2 linked regions of the Anolis sagrei genome follow. The protein of the gene in region 1 purifies or fractionates together with the protein of each later gene. This does not show direct contact. Links are inferred from orthologs where the notes say so. Each region holds a gene or a part of one and is shown in the gene's direction. Other genes may lie near its edges.

The links.
Region 2: the proteins of KIFAP3 (region 1) and KIF3A purify together in Homo sapiens (co-immunoprecipitation; 9 studies listed by BioGRID and IntAct, counting the BioPlex papers as one, with this or other methods). This does not show direct contact. The link is inferred for Anolis sagrei from reciprocal best matches to the Homo sapiens genes KIFAP3 and KIF3A.

Annotation. Positions count from the first base shown.
Region 1 is NC_090024.1:130,829,045-130,837,037, reverse strand, and holds the start of KIFAP3 (kinesin-associated protein 3), read left to right. Parts: upstream 1-4,988; 5' UTR 4,989-5,121; coding exon 5,122-5,153; intron 5,154-7,993. UniProt on the Homo sapiens protein: Involved in tethering the chromosomes to the spindle pole and in chromosome movement. Binds to the tail domain of the KIF3A/KIF3B heterodimer to form a heterotrimeric KIF3 complex and may regulate the membrane binding of this complex.
Region 2 is NC_090022.1:94,864,698-94,871,925, reverse strand, and holds the start of KIF3A (kinesin-like protein KIF3A), read left to right. Parts: upstream 1-4,215; 5' UTR 4,216-4,350; coding exon 4,351-4,356; intron 4,357-7,228. UniProt on the Homo sapiens protein: Microtubule-based anterograde translocator for membranous organelles. Plus end-directed microtubule sliding activity in vitro. Plays a role in primary cilia formation. Plays a role in centriole cohesion and subdistal appendage organization and function.

The DNA of each region.
Region 1 (7,993 bases):
GGACTGTGTGATGTATCAGCGAATAATGCGTGCAGTAAGGTGACCTTTTGTAGCTGATGATAATTTTGTCAGTGCTGATTGTGTTTAAGTGCAGGCCAAGGTCTTTAGGCACTGCACCCAGTGTGCCAATCACCACTGGGACCACCTTTACTTGTTTGTGCCAGAGTCTTTGCAGTTCAATCTTTAAATCCTCATATTGTGTCAGCTTTTCCAGTTGTTTCTCTTCAATCCTGCTGTCACCTGGGATTGCAACATCAACAATCCATACTTTGTTTTTTAACACGATTGTGAGGTCAGGAGTATTGTGCTCCAAAACTCTGTCTGTCTGAATTCGGAAGTCCCAGAGTAGCTTGACGTGTTCATTCTCTGTAACTTTTTCCGGCTTGTGATCTCACCAGTTCTTTGTCACAGGCAGATTGTATTTGTGGCACAGGTTCCAATGAATCATCTGAGCAACTGTGTTATGCCTCTGCTTGTAGTCTATTTGCACGATCTTGCAGCAGCTGAGGATGTAATCTTTTGTTTCATCTGCTTCCTTGCAGAGTCTATACTTGGGATCTGTCATTTTCAGTTCTGACTTTTTTGATGGCATTGGTTCTAATGGCTTGTTCTTGGGCTGCCAGAATCAGGACCTCCGTCTTCTTTTTCAAAGTTCCATTTGTGAGCCACAGCCATGTTTTTTCTTTGTCAATTTGGCTCTCAATTTTTCCCAGGAACTGTCCATGGAGAGCCTTCTTTCACCAGTTTTCTCTTCTGCTCTGGATTGTGTTTTTACAGTATTCACTCTTTGTCTTTTGCACTTTTGACTTCCCTTAATGTTGGTTCTTAACTGCCTTTCACATAATCTGCCAGTGCATGTTTCTCTTCTTCTACCCTTTGTTTCACTTGCAGAAGCCCTCTGCCTTCTGATTTTCTGGGTAAGTAAAGTCTGTCGACATACTATGCGGGTGTAATGAGTAGTGGATTGTCATCAGTTTTCTTGTTTTCTGTCCAGATCATCCAACTCTGCTTGTGTCCAGTTCACAATTCCAGCAATGTATCTAATGACAGGGATGGCCCAGATGTTGAGAACCTTGATCGTATTTCCGCCATTTAATTTGCTCTTCAAAACCTTTCTAACTCTTTGGATATATTCTTTGCTGACCACATTTTTCACATGCCCATGCTCGATATTATTCAACTGTAGTATGCCCAGATATTTTTAGGCTTCAGGCTGATTGTATTTTATAGTTTGTCCATTTGGTATCTGCATGCCCTTGTTGTGAGTAAGTTTCTCTATCTTTAATGCCACTGTCGCACATTTGTCTAGGCCGAACTCCATATTGATGTCAGTGCTGAAGATTCTGACTGTGTTGGTCAGTGACTGGATTTCAGTTTCATTTATTATTATTATTATTATTATTATTATTATTATTATTATTCTATCCCAGTAGTTTGTTGAGTGCCTTTCCACTTGGAAGTCTAATTTTCTAGCACTATCTCATTTCATTTGAATTTTCTTATTATAGGATTTTAATGGTAACAAACATCTGTTTTCTGCAGTTCTAAGACATGTTAGTTATGATGTCACAGTCAATGTCTCCGAGAGATGTGCCATCAATGTAACCACACACTGCTTTTGCTGCTTTTAGAGACTATTTATCTCAGTCTGTCTGTCTCACATGGAAAATCCTTTCAGTAGCACTGTGGTCATCAGCACAGGGTTTTGCCTCAGGAGTACATAACAATACCTCTGTGGAAAGATAATGCTATTGATGGAAAATGTCATCCCATTGATCAAATATTAGTTTGTGCCATTTAAATCTTACAATGTAACTGAAAGAAACTGGACCACCAATACTTCTCAGAATAACAAGGTCATCCCATAAAAACATTCAAAGTTTGTGTAGTATTCCAATCTTAATGTGTTTAATATGAAAAACAAACAGAGAGATATAGCAACATTACCCATTAATGCACAGTCAATAACTTTCATTTTGCTGTCAGCCAATGGGTCTCAAGATATTATACTGATGTCACAGTTCCTTGGTCACTGAGATTGGCCTGAGTAACTGTAATGCCTCTTTTCTAATGCTGCTAGAAAGAGAATCGACTCAAATGCTGGCTTCTGGCTAAAAAAGAACACACACACCATCATGATGGGCGAAGTACCAGGGCAGCAGGAGATCTTTGATTCACTGTTCAGCATTGTAACTAGGTAATATGAGGATAGTTCCATCTTATTTTTAAAGATGCTACTTGGTCACTGTAACAGTATTGAAAGGATTTTTAGCACATTGGATAATGGGTTTTGGCTGCTGCTGTTGTGTACCTTTGAGTTTATTTCTGATTTATAGTGACTTACAAGTGTCTTCTTAGCAAGGGGTTTGCTTCTACCTTCTTCTGAGGCTGTGAGAGTGTGACTTGCGCAAGTTCACCTACTGGGTTTCCGTGGCTAAGCAGCGAGCCCAATGCTCAAACCTTCACTGGAACAAGGTCTGGTTACCATAGAAGGGGTTTTAGGCTGCCAAATGATTCATTTAACAGCTTTATATGGGTCTATAACAGGCATCCTCAAGCTGCAGTCCTCCAGCTGTTTGGGCCTCCAACTCCCAGAATTCCTGACCATTGAACAAACAAACTAGTCCAGTGTGGGCTAGGCAAAACTACGGTGAGGTAGATCTGCTATTGGTTAAGCGAACGAACCCAGAGGGTGCTCACCAATGCTTCCTCTTCATCCTGGAAAGAAGTGATGAGTGGAGTGCTGTAGGTTCCATCCTGGGCCCGGTCCTGTTCAACATCTTTATTAATGATTTAGATGAAGGGTTAGAAGGCATGATCATCAAGTTTGCAGACAACACCAAATTGGGACGGATAGTCAATACTCCAGAAAACTGGAGCAGAATTCAAAAAGATCTGAACAGATTAGAGAGATGGGCCAAAACCAACAAAATGAAGTTCAATAGTGACAAATGCAAGATACTCCACTTACGCAGAAAAAATGAAATGCAAAGATACACGCTGTGGGACGCATGCCTTGAGAGCAGTACGTGTGAAAAAGATCTTGGAGTCTTTATGGACAAGTTAAACATGAGCCAACAATGTGATGTGGCGGCAAAAAAAGCCAATGGGATTTTGGCCTGCATCAATAGGAGCATAGTGTCTAAATCCAGGGAAGTCAGGCTACTCCCCTATTCTGCCTTGGTTAGACCACACCTGGAATATTGTGTCCAATTCTGGCCACCACAATTGGAGAGAGATATTGACAAGCTGGAATGTGTCCAGAGGAGGGCGACTAAAATGATCAAGGGTCTGGAGAACAAGCCCTATGAGGAATGGCTTAAAGAGCTGGCCATGTTTTGCCTGAAGAAGAGAAGGTTGAGAGGAGACATGATAGCCATGTACAAGGTGAGGCAGCATAACTTCCTTTATTAAAATGTGCGCCATTCAGTCGGTTGAAGACGTAGCGGAGCGCTAGTGGTCTAGTTCGAGAGGCAGGAGTATAAAGTTTTTTCCTGACACAGTTCAGTCGCCATCATGCGTTGGAACAGTGAGGAGCGTGCTTTTGCCGTTGAGGCCTACTTTTCGAGCGGATTTGGAGTGGCCGGCCCGCTCTCCAGATTTGGCCCCTTGTGATTTTTTATGGGTTTTTTTGAAATCCCGTGTTTATGTCAAACATCAAAGAACCCTACAAGATTTGAAGACCAACATCCAGGAAGAAATTGCCAACATAACGCCTGCTATGCTGGAAAGAGTCATGACAAATGCCAGAAATCAGTTTATTTATTTATTTATTTATTTACTATTCTTGTATACCGCTATATATCAAGCCCGAGGGCGACTCACAGCGGTTTCCAGACAGCAAATAGCAAGACAATAAAAACAGCAATAATTAATATGCAAAAACAGTTAAATTACACATTTCCATTACTAACTAATAAACAATCATCAATACACAGTTATCACAAATCCCATCCCCGATCGCCTCATCATCCAAGCATGATCCAAATTCGTCGTCCATTTTCGTGATCCAAATTCGTCGTCTCACAGTCAGAACTTCCTGACTGTGAGAGCCGTTCAGCAGTGGAACTCTCTGCCCCGGAGTGTGGTGGAGGCTCCTTCTTTGGAGGCTTTTAAGCAGAGGCTGGATGGCCATTTGTCAGGGGTGATTTGAATGCAATATTCCTGCTTCTTGGCGGGGGGTTGGACTGGATGGCCCATGAGGTCTCTTCCAACTCTTTGATTCTATGATTCTATGATTGTTTACTCAGTGTATGGAGAATGGGGGACATCACCTACCTAATTTGATCTTCAAAACTATGTAAAACAAAACTTTAGATATGCGCCTACATTATATAAAAAAATTCTGATTCATACAATGGGATTTATTAAGTTTTGAAAAAAGGAAGTTATGCTGCCTCACCCTGTATGTGAGAGGAAGTCACAGGGAGAAGGGAGCAAGCTTGTTTTCTGCTTCCCTGGAGACTAAAACGCGGAACAATGACTTCAAACTACAAGAAAAGAGATTCCATCTGAACATGAGGAACAACTTCCTAACTGTGAGAGCTGTTCAGCAGTGGAACTCTTTGCTCTGGAGTGTGGTGGAGGCTCCTTCTTTGGAAGCTTTTAAACAGAGGCTGGATGGCCATCTGTCGGGGGTGCTTTGAATGCAATTTTTCTGCTTCTTGGCAGGGGGTTGGACTGGATGGCCCATGAGGCCTCTTCCAACTCTATATTTCTATAGAGGCCTAAATAGCTGGAGGGCCAGAGTTTAGGAGTGTCTGGTCTACACTGAGGATATAATTGCAGATGTGTATCTCCAGTCTAAGCAATGTGGTCCTGTTGAATGCAAAACTACTTCTTCCCTGACAAGGCTCAATGAAGTTCAAGAGCCTCAACAGAGTCGCCTCACAAAAGAGAGAGAGCAGCACACTGGTCTGATTTCATTCATGTCGCACGCGCCTGCGCAAAGCAAGGCGCTGATTCGTCCCCTCAGCCCTCGCGCTCATCTCTGCGCCTGCGCCTGAGGTGACGGCCGGCGCTTGCGCAACGCGTGCACACTATTCCTTTTCGCCTTGGCAACAGGGCTGTCTGTCGCCTCGCTTCCCACAGCCGCTGAGCCTCAGTGTTGCTTCTGGCGCGATGCAAGGGGAGGACGCGCGGTACCTCAAAAGGTAACGTCTCCCCTCAGCAAAGGGAAAAGGAGGGGAGGGTGGCCCATTGAATGGGAGAGGGCTTCGAGGCCGGGCCTGGAGGGCGGGGGGGGGGGGGTGCCCTGCCTGTCGCCTCAAAGCGAGAGGGCGGCCTCTGGCTGGATATGAATAGGCTCTATGTGTAGGGAGTGTACTATCTAATTGTGTCATCTCTCTGGCCCTGCAGCATTCTGGGAATCGTAGTTTAGGGCGGGGCCTTTGGCATTCTCAACTACACAGGTCCTCCTTTCCCAAACTACATTTCCCAGGATTCTGCAGGCGGCAGAACAGACAAGCATCCCGAGCTCTGAGGATTACCTGGGAAGGAATCCCACTGGAGCATTGCAACACACCCAAATACCTGGGAGTCACTTTGGACCGTGCTCTGACCTACAAGAAGCACTGCCTGAACATCAGCAAAAAGTGGCGCTAGAAACAACATCATACAAAAGCTGACTGGCACAACCTGGGGATCACAACCAGACACAGTGAAGACATCTGCCCTTGCGCTATGCTACTCTACTGCTGAGTACGCATGTCCAGTGTGGAACACATCTCACCACGTTAAAACAGTGGATGTGGCTCTTAATGAGACATGCCGCATTATCACGGGGTGTCTGCGCCCTACACCACTAGAGAAATTACACTGCTTAGCCGGTATTGCACCACCTGACATCTGCCGGGAAGTAGCAGCCAATAGTGAAAGGACCAAGGCAGAGACATGTACAGCTCATCCCTTGTTTGGGTATCAGCCAGCACGTCAACGACTTAAATCAAGACATAATGTTCTTAGATCTACAGAGACACTCGCTGGAACACCTCAGCAAGCGAGAGTCCAAAAGTGGCAGGCCCAAACCCAGCACCTCAATCCATGGGTGATACCAGATGAGAGACTCCCCCCTGGGCATACAGAAGACTGGACGACTTGGAATGCGCTGAACAGACTGCACTCTGGCACCACGAGATGCAGAGCCAATCTTAAGAAATGGGGCTACAGGGTGGAATCCACGGCATGCGAGTGCAGAGAAGAGCAAACCACTGACCACCTGCTGCAATGCAATCTGAGCCCTGCCACATGCACAATGGAGGACCTTCTTGCGGCAACACCAGAGGCACTCCAAGTGGCCAGATACTGGTCAAAGGACATTTAACCAACTACCAAGTTTGCAAAATCTGTGGGGTTTTTTGTTGTTTTTTTTTAATCTGTGTGTTTGTTTTCTGTTAGAAATGTAATACAATGGTATGGTTTATTTATTATTTATTTATTTATTTATTACTTGCACTTATTGACCGCCACTCTCAGCCCTAGGGCGACTCGTGGCGGTGAACAGCAACATAGAAAAGACAGTGTACAATAAATCACGACAATACATACAAACTACTACTACATAACATATACTTATGCTAAAAATCCGCTTCGGTTGCTGATGACACGATAAATAAATGCAGGCGGCAGGAGACTCCCAACTTGTAAGGTTGCCTGCTTTAAAGCCCCAGTGTGAGAACTGGTATTAGAACCCAATTCAATGACAGAGCTCCATAGGGCTACCCAATGTCTTGCATGTTAATGGTGTTCAGAAGTAGTATTGGAGGGGATTGATCAGTCATGGGCAGACTTGGGCCTTCCAAGTGTTTTGGTCTTCAACTCCCACAATTCCAAACTGTTAGTAATTATAGACATTGAAGTCCAAAACACCTGGAGGGCAAAAGTTTGCCCATGCCTCCCATCATTTTTATTTATTTATTTAATTAATTAATTGACACAATCTCATATATAAACAGAAAATATACGTTCAGAAACAATGAAACATGTCTAGATCTGTATGTAGGCGGCAACTTGTACAAAGTAAGTATAACATTAGGTTCTTGTGGGTTTTTTCGGGCTATAGGGCCATGTTCTAGAGGCATTTCTCCTGACGTTTCGCCTGCATCTATGGCAAGCATCCTCAGAGGTAGTGAGGTACCTCTGAGGATGCTTGCCATAGATGCAGGCGAAACGTCAGGAGAAATGCCTCTAGAACATGGCCCTATAGCCCGAAAAAACCCACAAGAACCTAGTGATTCCAGCCATGAAAGCCTTCGATAATACATTAAGTATAACATATTATACCATTCACTCGAGTTTAAGTCACTTTTAAAGGAAAATCCATGTAAACTATTCCTAACTACTAGAACTGTTTCCATCTAGCTAACAGCAATAGTGCCATCAGCTATCCCCCCCCCTTCATATCCAAATAAAATAAAATAAAAATGCCAATGTATTTTTTTTGGAGATTCCTTACAAGGCAAGAAATATATCTTCATGATCAAGATGCTTTCAGAGTATGTCCAAATACATCTTGATATTACATCAATAAAAAAGAAAACAAGAATGGGAGCAGGCAACAAAGTACTCTCTTATGACTAGAGCTTTCTGAGTCTTTTACATACACAGGTACAGACACTTGCAAAAACCCAATTTGTATAAATTCCCATGCCTTCCATCAGGCGTGTCCAAACTTTTTAAGCCAGGGCCAGTTCACTGTCCTTTGTTGTTGTTCATTCATTCAGTCTTTTCCGACCCTTCGTGACTTCATGGACCAGTCCACGCCAGAGCTCCATGTCAGTCGCCACCACCCCTAGGTCTTTCAAGGTCAATCCAGTCACTTCAAGGATCCCATCCATCCATCTTGCCCTTGGTTGGCCCCTCTTCCTTTTTCCTTCCATTTTCCCCAGCATCACTGTCTTCTCTAAGCTTTCCTTTCTTCTCATGATGTGGCCAAAGTACTTCATCTTGGCCTCCATATGAAGACTCAAAGCGGCTCACAACCAAAAACATTACA
Region 2 (7,228 bases), on another chromosome or scaffold:
CTCATGACCCACTTTACGTCCTGGTGCAACTTGGAGGAAGATGCACCATGGACGATGGGACTTGCAATACCTGCACTCCCTTCCTAAAACCATTATAACTGCCAACAATGATGGATCAGGACCACAATTTACACAGAGAGCCCACATAACCCACTCTACATCCTGGTGTGGTTTGGAAGAATTTGACAATGGATGATGGGACTTGCAGTCACTTCACTCACTTCCTGAGACCACTGAGACCCTTGCCAATGACTGATCAAGACCAAACTTGGCACACAGAGTCCCCATGACCCACTCTCCATCCTGGTGTACTTTCGAGGAGGACAGACCATGGATGATAGGACTTCAAGTACCTCCACTCTCTTCCCAAGACTGCTGCAACCCTCATCTAATGTCCGAACAAAACCAAACTTGGCACACAGAGCTCCCATGACCCACTCTACATCCTACTGTGTTTTGGAGTAGGGCATACCATGGATGATGGGACTTGAAGTACCTCTACTCGCTTTCCGAGACTGCTGCGACCCTCAACAATGACTGAACAACACCAAACTTGGCACATAGACCTCTCATTACCCACTTTACGCCATGGTGTGGTTTGACTGTGGATCGAGCATGGATTATGGGACTTGCAGTCTCTTCGCTCAATTCCTGAGACCACTGCAACCATAATCCAATTTCCGATAAGGATCAAACTTGGCACACCGGGTCTCCATGATGCACTCTACATCCTGGTGTGGTTTGGAGGATGATGCACCATGTACGGTGGGACTTGCAATTCCTTCGCTCACTTAGTGAAACTACTGAGACCCTCATCCAATGACTGATGAAGACCAAACTTGGCACACAGAACCCCCATGGCCAACTCAACATTCTGGTGAGGTTTGGGGAGAACAGACTATGGATGATGGGATTTCAAGTACCTCCACTCACTTCCCAAGACTGCTGCAACCCTCATCTAATGACCAATCAAGACCAAACTTGGCACACAGAGCCCCCATGAGAGACTCTACATCCTGGTGCTGTTTGGAGGAGGATGGATAATGGATGATGGGACTTGCAGTACCTTCACTCACTTCCTGAAACCACCGTGACATTCATCCAAATACCAATAAAGACCAAACTTGGCACAGAGAGCCCCCATGGCCAACTCAACATTCTGGTGATGTAGAGTGAGACTATGGATGATGGGACTTGCAGTACCTTAACTCATTTTCTGAGACTGCTGTGACCCTCATCCAATGACTGGTCAAGACCAAACTTAGCACACAGAGCCTCCATGACCCTCTCTCCATCCTGGTGCAGTTTGGAGGATGATGGACCACAGACGATAGGACTCACAGTACCTTCACTAACTTCCTGAGACCACTGCGAGCCATATAAATAACTGATAAAGACCAACCTTGATATACAATTCCTTTCTCTAATCCAAAAACAAACAATACCCTTTTAAAATAACCCGGGCAGCGCCGGGTACCCAAGCTAGTTTTATTAATAAAAGTCATACATTCTCTATGTCATTCATCTAGGGAAGACATGTGTAGCCTGCTGAACCTACTGTCCCAATGAATGGATGGTGGCAAGGTCCTTGATCAGCATCTTTATACTAAATTCTCTCTTAAGGAGGGAAAACTCAACTGCAGCCTGTTGTCTCTGGTATTCATTGGTAATCTCCCATCCAAGTACCATTAGCGGCTGACTTCCAGGATCAGTGTTTGGAGCCCTTAGGTAGCATGGATTTGATCTTAACTGGTTGGGCAATTGCACAGAGAATAGGGCCAGATTCTCACCCTCATGACACCCTGGAGGGCCACACTCACATGTCCAGACATGTTTGGTCACTTCTGGTCTCAACTGATACAGGGAGATGGTTCGGGGAGGAGGGGTAAGCTTCTGTTTGTGAGCAGTTTCTTTCAGTTTGGCAGCTTTGGGGGCCCTTGGGGATGCTAAAAGACTTGCAGCCTGCCCTGCCTTCATTTAATGCAGAGCTTTGCAACCCTAAATCTGTCTCCCTTGAAATATGTTCCATTGAAATAGATAGCAGGTAGTTCTCAGTAACTGTGCTTACAGCTGTAATGTAAAAGAACAAATGTAATATCTATATAAATAAAAATGTAATGTTTGTTTGTGGGATTAGCACAATAAAATAATAATAATAATAATAATAATAATAATGCTTTATTTATACCCCGCTACATGTCCCCCAGGGGGACTGGGTGCGGCTTACATGAGGCCATGGCCATCAATACAATACAAGCTATAACACAAACACAATAAAACAAGCAAAATACATAACTCAAAACCACAGAACGAATTGACACCAAATTTGGACACAAGACACCTATCAGGCCAACTAGTGACCATCACTCATGAAAACACTGAAAAACACAGCGGAAGAGACTTAAAAATAAAAAAAATTACATTACAACGCATGCGCAAAACCACATATATACACATATACACATACATACACACACAAAACTCATATACACAGACAGGGCCACAGCAACACATGGCAGGGGATGGCTAGGATATAAATAAAAATGTAATGTTTGTTTGTGGGATTAACATAACTCAAAAACCACTAGACGAATTGACACCAAATTTGGACACAATACACGTATCAGGCCAACACTCATGAAAACACTGAAAAACACAAAAAGCCAAAAAATAAAAAATACAACACATTTGCAAAACCACACACACACACATATGCAAACACATATATACACATATACACAAAAATATACACACATAAAACACATACACACAGACTGGGCCACAGCAACGTGTGGCGGGGGGTGGCTAGTGTGTGTGTGTGTGTGTGTGTGTGTGTAGTACATACTAGCTGTCATCTAATCACCTAATCATACTGGCAATCTAAGAGCCCAATCTTGACTAGGCAGTATTTTTGTATGCCGTTATAGCCAGTGACAGAAAAATATAGTCCAGTTCTATGTGTTCAGAAATGCATTTCACTGACTCTGAAGGGCCCATGAAGTAGGTACAGAATTGCAGCTGAAGTTTGTCAAAACCATGGGACATGCAATTTGTTAAATCTGAATCCATTCAGTAGCAGCAAAGTGTTGCTGCGATTCTTTCCGAACACAGCTAGCCATGCACCCTCAGTTTGTCCCCTTTGTTTTTTTTAATCTGTATTTACTACATCATCAGTATTTTCATTCTTTTATTTTCATGTTATTATTAAAATCAAGAGTGAAAATGAAAAATAATTTATAAAAAAGTGTATGCATTAACTAACACCACTAACAAAATATTCACATCACGTGAAGAGGCTGATGGATAGATGCCAAAACGTCAGCATTCTCTCCTGACATTTTGCCCACATCTATGGCAGGCATCCTCAGAGGTTGTGAGGTCTGCTGGAAACTAGGCAAGTGAGGTTTACATATCTTTGGAATGTTCCCAGTGGGAGAAAGGACTCTTGTCTGCTGGAGGAAAATTTGAATGTTGCAATTGGCCACCTTAATTAACACTGAATGGCCTTGCAGCTTCAAAACCTGGCTGCTTCCTGCCTAGGGGAATCATTTGTTGAATCTGTTGGGAAGGACTGAGAGCGGGCAATGCTGGAAGTGAATGGGGATCGGCTGCCTCTCCGAGGGCTTTTTAAAAGGCAGCTGCGATGTGGCAGTTACACATATAGAATTAATGCAGTTTGACCCCACTTTAACGGTTATGGCTCAAAGCAATGGAATAATAGGAGTTGTAGTTTTACCAGCAGGTCTTTTGCCTTCTTCCTCATAAACTACATCTCCCATCATTCCATAGCATTGAATCAAAGGAGGTGTCAAATTGGATTAATTCCACTGTGGAGATCAGGCATGGGCAAGCTTGGGCCCTCCAGGTGTTTTGGACTTCAGCTCCCACAATTCCTAACAGCCGGTGTAAATCCAGTGTAGTTGCCGTGGCTTCTAGGGAGTGTTTACTTCATGCCACTCCTGCATCCCTTTCTAATCCAATTACTCGCTTAGCAACACATGATGTCGCTTCGCTTCCCCATTTAAAACCAACCGCCCAGCCACGCCCCTCCCGCCGCTCCTCCCGCCCACCAGGCCCAAACCAATATTTCCATTGGCGGTTCCAATCCTAACCTTTGGCCAATAGCAGCGGGGGAGCTGGCTCGAGGCGTTGCGTATTGGCTGAGACTCCTCTGCATGACGCAGGCGGGGCGTGGCGTGAGGGGCTGTCATTCATTCCTTCCGCGCAGGCGCGCTGGGCCCGGTTATTGTCAGTGGTACCGCCGGTGACCGGGTCTCCCTCGCCTCTGGTCCTTCGGGGCGGCCTTCTGTGGTGGTGCCGCCTTCGCCATCTTGGCCCAGCGCAGGCACGATGCCGGTGAGTCGGCAGCAGCCTCTGCCCGTGGCTGGCCTTCCTTCCCGCAGGGCCCTGCGCTTCTCGGGCTTGTTGTTGCTAGGGGCGGGGTGGGAGGCAGGCCAAGGGCGGGGGAGGCATAGGAAGAAGGCCCCTCGGCCTCTGCCCAAGGAGGGAGGGAGGGATGGGCTGCAATAGAGGCCTTCTCCTCTCTCAAGGGGTTTCACGTCGCCCTTCATGGCCGTGAGAGCCAAAACTGCCCCTCCCTCTCAGAGAATGCTCCCTTGAATGGCAGCCATAGGGATGCTCTGAAGACAGGGACAGGACAACTTCATCCTCATCAGCACACAGACCAACCCAAACCCATTTTAATCGTGGTCTCTTGGTTTTTTGGCCTGCTATTGTGTGGCTCACTGGTTCAGACAATTGCATTAGATCAAGCATGGGCAAACTTGGGCCCTCTGGGTGTTTTCGACTTCACCTCCCACTATTCCTAACAGCCCCAGCCCTCTTCGGATAGATTACTGCAACGCACTCTACGTGGGGTTGCCCTTGAAGACTGTTCAGAAACTTCAATTAGTCCAGCGGGAGGCAGTCAGATTGCTTACCGGAGCGTCATACAGAGAGCATACCACCCCCCACCCCCCGTTGTGTCAGCTCCACTGGCTGCCAATCCAGTTCCGAGCACAATTCAAAGTGTTGGTTTTGACCTACAAAACCCTATACGGTTCCGGCCCAGCGTATCTGTCCGAACGCATCTCCCTCTACGTCCCACCTCGGAGTCTGAGATCCTCTGGGGGGCCCCTGCTCTCGGCCCCGCCTCTGTCACAAGTGACAGAGGAGCAGGGCCTTCTCAGTGGTGGCTCCTCACCTATGGAATTCACTCCCCAGGGAAATTAGATCAGCAACATCCCTCCTTTCCTTCAGAAAGAAATTAAAAACATGGATGTGGGACTAGGCGTTTGGGCAATCTGGCAGATGAATACAGGACTGTGACGACGGATAGGAATAGACAATGTGGAACGAAGTATAGACTCTGAGTTGGCGAACGCTGTGCTTGAGATTGGCTATCGACTGTGAAATATATTGTTGTTTTAATTGTTTTAATTGTTAACCATTTAATTGCTGTTTTTATATGTTGTTGTATTTGTGTAGGCACCAAATTATGCCATTTTGTAAGCCGCCCTGAGTCCCCCCTTGGGGCCTGAGAAGGGTGGGGCAGAAGTATACGAAATAAATGAATAAATAAATAAAAAGGGGCCTGAGGCTGCTAGGAATTAGCTTGGGGGTCCCCCTGAACTCAACACTATCGCTTGATGCTCAGGTGTCAGCGGTGGCCAGGAGGGCCTTTGCACAACTCAAACTTGTGCGCCAGCTGCGATCATACCTCGTGAAGTCTGACTTGGCCAGGGTGGTCCACACCTTGGTTACATCCAAACTGGACTACTGCAATGCGCTCTACGTGAGGCTGCCCTTGAAGACGGCCCAGAAGTTTGATCTGGTACAGCAGGCGGCAGCCAGGCTCCTTACTGGATCAAACTATAGGGAGCATACAACACCCCTATTAAAACAGCTTCATTGGCTGCTGATAAGTTGCTGAGCCAAATTCAAGGTGCAGGTCATGACCTATAAAACCCTAAACGGTTTGGGCCCCACCTATCTCTGCAATCGCATCTCCTTCTATGAACCGGCGCGAGCTCTAAGATTTATTTATTTATTTTGATTACTTCTACCCCGCCCTTCTCACCTCGAAGGGGACTCAGGGCAGCTTACAAAGGCACAATTCGATGCTGGCATCACATAACAGTAGTATAAAACAACATAGCAGCAATTAACAGTTAGCAGTAGTTTCTGCATTACAACAATAAAACCAATAAAAACCACTTACACCTAATTAACGGTCAGCGTTCTCATCTCATAGTCCAATTTCCAATTCCACTTTGTCAGTCCTAGTCATCTGATTGTCCTTATCTAGTTGTCAGATTGCCCAAAGGCCTGGTCCCACAACCACGTCTTTAATTTCCTCCTGAAGGAGAGAAGGGATGTTGATGACCTAATTTTCCCCGGAGTGAGTTCCACAGGTGAGGGGCCACCACTGAGAAGGCCATCCACATTTGCTGGGTTTGGGGTTGCAGGACTCCTGAAAAAGTGGGGAAAACACAAATAAAAAGCACATTTTTAAAACCTAAAAGAACACATCTCTAGGAGTCTCTAGGCAGAAGTTAACTATAAAGTCACTCTGAAGAACCTAGAGATTCCTAAACAGACCATATTAATGAAATATGTGAATAATCAAATCTACAAAAGTTAAAACCATATATGTGGAGGGCTAACTGTATAGCCTGGAGCAGGGGTACTTAAACTTTTATGCTTGGGACCCTTTTTGGCATGAGATTTTTTATACACACAGTTCTTGTGGGTTTTTTTCGGGCTATATGGCCATGTTCTAGAGGCATTTCTCCTGACGTTTCGCCTGCATCTATGGCAAGCATCCTCAGAGGTGAGGTCTGCTGGAACTGGGAAAAAAGGGGTTTATATATCTGTGGAATGACCAGGGTGAGACAAAGATTTTTTATACATATATAAGTATATAAAATAGGTATAAAAATGACACATTTACTGATAAACAAATAAGTATTTGTAAGACTTACTAAACTGATTCATTTTCCTTTGCATGAAATATAGCTGAAGCATCTTTTGTGGAGTCCACTGCAAATGCTGCACAACAGATTTGTGTAAATGTCTAAAGCAGCCACTAAGTGATATTCAGAATTTTTTAAAACCCCAACATTGAGCTAAAAGCAGACACATATTGAGTCATTTGTATCTTTCTTGGGAAGAAACATCCTTTCTTGCTTTTAGACTGCAACAGAGTATCCTGCAACCACATTATTTT